2 linked regions of the Cricetulus griseus genome follow. The protein of the gene in region 1 interacts with the protein of each later gene in a pairwise test. Links are inferred from orthologs where the notes say so. Each region holds a gene or a part of one and is shown on either strand. Other genes may lie near its edges. The genes, in order: Ube2u and Rnf144b.

Evidence for each region.
Region 2: the proteins of Ube2u (region 1) and Rnf144b interact in a two-hybrid assay, tested with the Homo sapiens proteins (2 studies listed by BioGRID and IntAct). The link is inferred for Cricetulus griseus from reciprocal best matches to the Homo sapiens genes UBE2U and RNF144B.

The regions. Positions count from the first base shown.
Region 1 is NC_048595.1:49,096,868-49,100,700, reverse strand, and holds part of Ube2u (ubiquitin-conjugating enzyme E2 U), read left to right. Parts: intron 1-342; coding exon 343-435; intron 436-3,386; coding exon 3,387-3,484; intron 3,485-3,833. UniProt on the Homo sapiens protein: Catalyzes the covalent attachment of ubiquitin to other proteins.
Region 2 is NC_048596.1:266,949,991-266,953,823, forward strand, and holds part of Rnf144b (E3 ubiquitin-protein ligase RNF144B), read left to right. Parts: intron 1-3,632; coding exon 3,633-3,737; intron 3,738-3,833.

The sequences.
Region 1 (3,833 bases):
TTAAGAAAATCACAGGGAAGCAGCTGGTGAGATGACTCAGCAGGTAAGAGCATTTGCTGCCAAGCCTAAAGACACAAGTTCAAATCCCAGAACCCATGTAGTAGAAGGCAAGAACTAACTTTGGCATGTTGTTCTGTAACCTACATGCACATGCACAGACACACACACACACACACACACACACACACACACACACACACTATATATTTAAAGAAGAAATTTATATTGAAGGAAAAAACAAGAAAATAATGGATAAGTTTAATCATAGAAAAACCTCCAGTGTTCGATCAGGCTAGAGCTAACCATAACACTTTAATGGCATTATTCATTTTTATATTACAGGGTTTGTCTTCCACCTGACAATAGATTTTACACCAGAGTACAACCTTGTTCCTCCAGTTGTGAAATTTCTAACAATTCCTTTTCATCCAAATGGTAAGGACTAAGTGAGACTCTCTTATTATTGTGTTATTGTGGCTTTGTCTATGCAATCTTTTGGGAGGGTGTTTAATAACCATGTTCCCCTTTAACAACTTACAATTAAAGTAAGAATACTCATTGGAAAAACTTTAAAAAGCAGAAAAAAATAACAATCCCTTTGAATCCTATAGTGAAATCATTTTCAATATTTTACCACATAGATCCTCATTTTTCTGTGTGCAAATTTTTCCACAGTTGAGATGTGATATACAGTTTTATCTAGCTTTACTTTAAATGCATTTTTAAACTTCCTAGCTTTAATTATGTATGTATGTGAAGGGGTGGTGGGTGTGCACATGAGTGTGGTGCCCATAGAGGTCAGAAGAGAGTTTTGGATCCTCCGGGGCTGGTGTTACAGGTCATTATGCACCACCCAGTGTGAGTGCTACGAACCAAGCTCAGCAGTGCTCTTGACAGAGAAGCTATCTCCCCAGCCCCGTCCTGCATTTCTATACATTCTGTAAAAGACCATGTTAAATGGCTGGATAGTACACATATCCACACATCATGTATTATTTAAGTTGAATCTAATTTTTCATCTTATAAAACAATATACGAGACAACTTAATCTTTGGGGAAAAGTATGTCAGATTGCTCTGCTGAGTTCTGTGCAAAGTGGTTGCCTGAAGCATGGCATTTTCTTTAATTGCATTCTAAAACAGTAGACAAGGTAATGCAACTGTTTGTGGGCTTCTATAGGAGCCCCTGAAACTACTGAAAACTATGATGTCTAAACTATAAGCTTTTAAAAACCTTTGTAGCTGTGCACATTATAAACAAACTAAGAAAATAATAAAACTGCATTATGCAAACTCAGGGACCACTCATGGTACAGGATAGAATATCTACACCACATAAAGAACCCTGTGACAAGGGGATGGGCCTAGGCCCTGTCCCAAAGGATATGACAGACTCTGTAGAGCCCCTATGGAAGGCCTCCACCCTCCCTGGGGAGCAGAAAGGGTATGTGATATAGGTAGGGTTTTAGTGGGGGGGGGGGGCATGGCAAGAGAAGAGGGAAGGGAGAGGGAACCGGGATTGACATGAAAAACAATCTTGTTTCTAATTCAAATAAAAAAAATAGGAAAAAAAAAAAAGAACCCTTGTGAACTACCAGAAAACAGTGTGAAATCCATGAACAAACACTGGATAGACAGAACACAACACCACAATCTCATTATGAAGAAAATAGATGCATATCAAAACATAAGATATTGTGATTCATCACTTCTGTTTACAAAATTTTAAAAGACATCAAAACTCATTTTTAGTGAGCTTGAGCAGACATCAATCCTTGACATAATGGTGACCTTTTAGGGAAGTGATTTGAAAATTTCTAATCAGCTATATCACACACACACACACACACACACACACACACACACACACACACACATATATATATATATATATATATATATATATATATATATATATTCCAGGCTTATATATTATTCTGTAGACATAGTAGCACAAGAGTATGTTATATTGAAGGATGCCCATTCCCAGTACACTTAGCCCATGGCCTTGCTGCAGCCTCTCCCATATACTTCAAATCATCACTGGGTTACTTAACAATGAAAATGCTATGTGCATGGTTGATTACTACATTGTCTCAGAAATATTGACAAGAAAAATGTTTGTACAAGTTCAATATGAATGCTGTTTTTTTTTCTGAATATTTCTGAACCTCACTTGAACCCATGAATTTCAAACCTATGCATACAAACAATATCTGCTGACAAAGGAATTTTTTTACACAGGAAGTTTTTAAGTAAAATTTTCTATATAATATATTTTTCCCCTGTATAGAAAAAGGAAGACTCATGAAAACTAGATTTTCTTTGTCACTGCAAGTGTCCCTAGAATCGTTATTGCTTGGCACATAGTAGGTGCTTACCTATCTTTTTAATAAACTATCTGGACCAGCAAAGTGATCCAGCAGGGAAGGGCACTAGTTGAGCAGCCTGACAATCCCCAACTCCCACACGTCCTGTGACCTCTCGGAATATACTGGAGTACAGGTGTCTGTGCACATGCGTACACACACAGAGACAGATGAATTTAAGTCAGTTTTAATAAATAAATACAACTAGAAATATGCTGCACATTTATTTTAAATGAAAAAAAAAAACCTTGAAAACACAATGTAAAAGTGTCCTTTCATGTGATAAAGAGATGAGCACTTACAGGTATACAGAGGGAAGTTTGTAGATCAATGTGACTTAAGAACAGAATTGCTAGGCAGGGGACATTCATGTTTTACTTTATATTTTCTTATATACTTTTCCCCTCCAATGTCCACTATTATTTTGTGAGTAAATTAGTTTTGAAGCTGGACAGATGGCTTGTGCAAGCATAAGGACCTGATTTCAAATCCTATGCACCCATATAAAACCACAGCCACAGCCACCCACACCTAGAACACCAGCACTGTGAGGGGAGAGGGGATCTCCAAGCGAGAGGATTTCGAGGGCTTGCTAACCACCAGTGTCAATGAGAGACCCTTTCTCAAAGAAGTACGATAGAGACAAACAGAGCAGGGTACCTGGCCTCCTCCTCGGGCTTCTGGGAATTCACAGGCATGCACATTCCCAGTACACTTAGCCCATGGCCTTGCTGAAGCCTCTCCCATATACTTCAAATCATCACACATGCACATGTAAATCACACACATACACACTCACAAGCCTCAAAAAAATACTATATTTGAAATTCATATTATCGAATTGCTGCAACCGGAGCCTATAATCAACTAAAGCTGGCGGGCACTGGAGATCCACGCAGTGATTATCATTATATGAAATAGGAAAAAAGGAAGAGTAGATGAAATAATTTTCTTGATGTGTCACTATGATGCTTTATAAGTTTCGAATGCTAAAAATTAATACATTGTTTTAATACAGTAGACCCATATACCGGTCAGCCCAGTATAGACTTTTTGGACAGCCGTGACAACTGGAACACAAATTATACAATAAGCAGCATCTTACTTGCTCTACAGGTAAGAATACAGTTATCTTAATGCTCTCTCTCTCTCTCTCTGAGATTCTATTTAAGATGGGCCTCACAATGTAGCCCCAGCCTGGCCTTGAACTCCTGATTATTCTGCCTCCACCTTCTGAGTGCTGGGATGGCAGGCATGCACCACCATGCCTAACTTAATGGTTTAACACATTTAATGCTCCTACTTATTCATCACACAAGGTTTAACATGTACACAGTGTATTCAGATGCTTTAGGATCTGAGCAAGCTGGTGTCAATCAAAATGTCTTCATCTGGAACTGAAGAGTGGATCTTTAGCTGCAGACTTACTTTGAAATTGATGGTTAAAGCGCTTCACAGTCAAGGA
Region 2 (3,833 bases), on another chromosome or scaffold:
AAACAGACAAACCAAACCAACAAACAAAAACAGGGTGATACTTTCATGAGAAGAGAATTCAGAGTTCATCTGATGTGTGAGTCATTCAGTGATGTGTATTGGGGCATTGCATTTTTCTAGGATCCTTCAGAACACAAGATAGATGAGGAAATACAAGTAGATAAGGAAATACACCATGGAAAGAGACCCATAGAGGTAGGGAATTGGTCTTAGCTGAGAAGGCCTTTCTGACAAGGTACAGATGGAAGCTCTGAGTGAAACAAGCAGTATAGTAAAGGACACACAAAACCAGAAATTTATCATCCATTAATTGGTCTATCAATCATCTATATATCCCCTATCTACCTATCATCCATCAATCAGTCTATCAGTCAATTATATATTGACTGTCTACCTATCATTCATGTATTATCTATCTGTCTATCTATCATCTGCCTATCATCTATAATCCATTAATCATCTATCAACAATCGATCACCTATCAATTATCCATCTATCATCTATCAATTATCTGTCATCTATCCAGCTATTTTCTGCCTATCTGTCTATGCCCGTAGCTTGTTCTTAGATGGGTACATTACAAGCTTTTTCGCCATGTCTCTAAGACTGTTGAGAACATCTTATGAAGAACGCCATGTCCTTTGACATAGGGTGAACAACAACCTTGAAAAAAACCCTTCCTTGAAAAATTCCATTGACATAACTCATAGACTGAGTTGGAAGGAACAATACGAATCACCTGGCTTGCCATGTGTTTGGTGGTTGAATGCTTGACTACATCGAATTGAAATCCTTGTGGGCTGTAGAGTGAGTGAGGTGAGGAGTCTTGGTTTTATTTATGACCTTTAAGGTCTTCAAGTATTTATCTATGCTCCTTCAAGCCATTTAAATGAAAGGTAACGACACAAAAAGACCAATTCTCCCTTTTATTAGTCATCTGGGCTTTTGAAATGTTTTTGAAACATCACCTTAGACTTTGTCAGTCATATAGAAAACTGCAAGATCTGTACACTGCTCAAGTTTAATGACATGCAATTGTTAAACGTAGCAAATGGTGGTAGTTTTGTGTGTTTCTCTTTCTGTGTAAGCTAGGTGCCAGGTTTTTTTTTTCTCCAGAATTGTTAGTTTTTTACCAGAGTTTGACTTGTTTAGTTCTTGTAAAATATTTTTGATTCTTTTGTGCTTCTTTAGCCAGCTGAAGGGATGAGGAGAAGGTTTGAGATGGTATTTTTCAGTGAAAGCTAATGGAAACCATGAACACAGGCACTTGAAAAATGTGATACGGAGCAGTGGCTGGGACTAACTGTTCTTCCTCTACTTTGGGTAAAGTGCATGGCCACACTGATGGCCTGTCATGTGCCTGAGCTCCCAGCTGCTTAACCACCTACACTAATGCTTCAGCATCTCAAACAAAAAAGTGTCTCAGAATAAAAAGAATGCACTCAACACCTGTGGTCCAACTGTGCATACAGCTCCAACCTTGCTCCAAAAATTGCAGCACACTGTATTTTTTGGAGACATGGGAATGCTTGTGTGGAAATCTTCTAAATTCATTAGTTGACATATTATGGTTTGCAAAACACCTATGGACCTGGCATTAGCAAATGGAACATCTACTATAAGCCAGTGGGGAACCTTGATGGTTCAACTGTACAAATTTGCAATGTAAGTTTAAGTAATCATTTTTGCCTATTAAACTTGAGTGATAGCTCTCTAGTTACTATGCAACATTAAGCTTTCTCTGTACCCCAAAGAGTCCTGAGGAGAAGCTTGTCTACAGGCTGGTGGAATGTTCTGGCTCACACACCTTTTCTGTCTGGGCAGCGTCTCTGCTCCAGGTGGTTTAACCGGTTCCTTGGAGAGAGTCTGGAAAGGAGATGTCAGAACTCCAAAGGGTGGACTGGTCTAAGATGAAGCAATTCAGAAACTTACAAAGGCCTCGTTTTAGGGGTGTGTGTGTGTGTCTGTCTCTCTCTGTGTGTGCACACATGAAACCCTGTAACTAAACAGACATTATCTTCCCTAGTTTACAAATGATGAGGACATGCATCTGGGTCCTAGGTAGAGTCATTTGCCACTGTCAGCAGGTGTACACCTCAGCTGCTATGCTCTGAAGTTTGTCACACAGTATCACTTTGTTTTTCTCATATACTTTCCCCTTGAGCCTGGGCAGCACATATTTTTAGAGCCTGTTTTCCTCAGTTTCTGTGAGTGGCTGCTGGCAGGAGAGGGTAAAGGCAGTAGTATTGGAACCGTGTGGCTGAAGGGAGACAGGGGAATCTCTAGAAGCAGAGTGGTAGGCAGCCCTTTGCAAGGTCCCCTGGGATGGCAGCCTTTGTGTGACAGTGTATGGTTTGTCATTTCAGTTAGAAAAATACACGATTTTAAATGAAATATAACAGTGCTGCTTGGGTTCCGTCTTCACATGAAGAAAACTAATTTTAAGAGGTCAGGAAAAGTCATAGATTTCACGATTCTGTGCTAGATTCTGACCACAGACTCTGATTTAATGGTTTATGTAATGATGCACAGCACTGATTCTTTGTTTTTTTGTCTTTTGTAAGACAGAGTTTCTCTGTGTAACAGTTCTGGCTGTCCTGGAACTCATTCTTTAATTTTCCTGTCCCAAGCTCTTCAAGAGGACCTGGTGGGACATGCAGTTTGGAAGGCTGAGGCAGGTGGACGGAAAGTTCTAGTTCTTCCTGGGCTACATAGTGAAACCCTATGTCCAAAAACAAAACAAACAAAAGAAAGCAAAACACAATAACAAAACACATCAAAACCCTTGTCAACATGGTGGCATCCAGTAAGGCTTCTGTTTTTGGGATGGCCTGTTCTTTCAAGTTGTCTTTGCTATCCGAAGCCAGCAGGAAGCCACCTGACTTTTTCCTGTATAACTCAGTCCTTATCAGTATTTTGATTCTGTTTGGGTATCTTAGGTCCGGGATCCCAGAGTGAGGGTCATTCTACTTTCAGGTAAACTTACAAGAGAGGTTCACTAGATTAAAAACAGAATTGGGGGTGCTAGGGAAATGGGGGGATGGTTAAGAGGATTGCAGAGGATTGGGGTCAGTTCTGAGCACCCTCGTGGTGGTTCATTAACCATCCATATTTCCAGCTCTGGAGGATCTGATGCCCCCTTCTGACCTCTGTGTCACATACACACACACACACACACACACACACACACACACACACACACACATGAAAAACATTCATACACATAAAATAAAATAATACATACAAAATTAAAACAAACAAACAAACAAACAAACTAGAATTGGGAAATCAAATCGGGTTTGAAAAGAAACTAAGCATGGAGGCTTTTGCTGTGGATTCGAAAGTGCTTCTTCTTTTCCCAGTCTAAGGCAGACAAACTGAGTGAGCACGTGGGAGTCTGACTTGAAAAAACGCTTAAAATGAAGTCATCTGTGATTAATCTTCTGGCTCTGCATTCTTTCCAAAGTGATGGCTCTTTAGTACCCACACTTGTGATAACTTATGTTTCCTGAGTACAGGAACCCCAGGACAGCCAATTTAGGAAGACGCTGTGGATGCTCTCTTATGTAACCTTTGCGCTACTGTAGTGGATGTGATGTTTAAAATATCTGCTTCTTTCCCCCTTCTTATAGTGCCTGCGACAGTATATGATGCTGTCAATCCGAGAAGGATGTGGGTCTCCCATCACTTGTCCTGACATGGTGTGCATAAAACACGGGACCCTGCAAGAAACAGAGGTATGGATGCATGCTGTCGCCTTCCCTTCTGCCCTGCTGAATTATGTCTTAGCATCTGGACTCTTAAGTATTGCATACTAGGGAGTTAGTGACAAA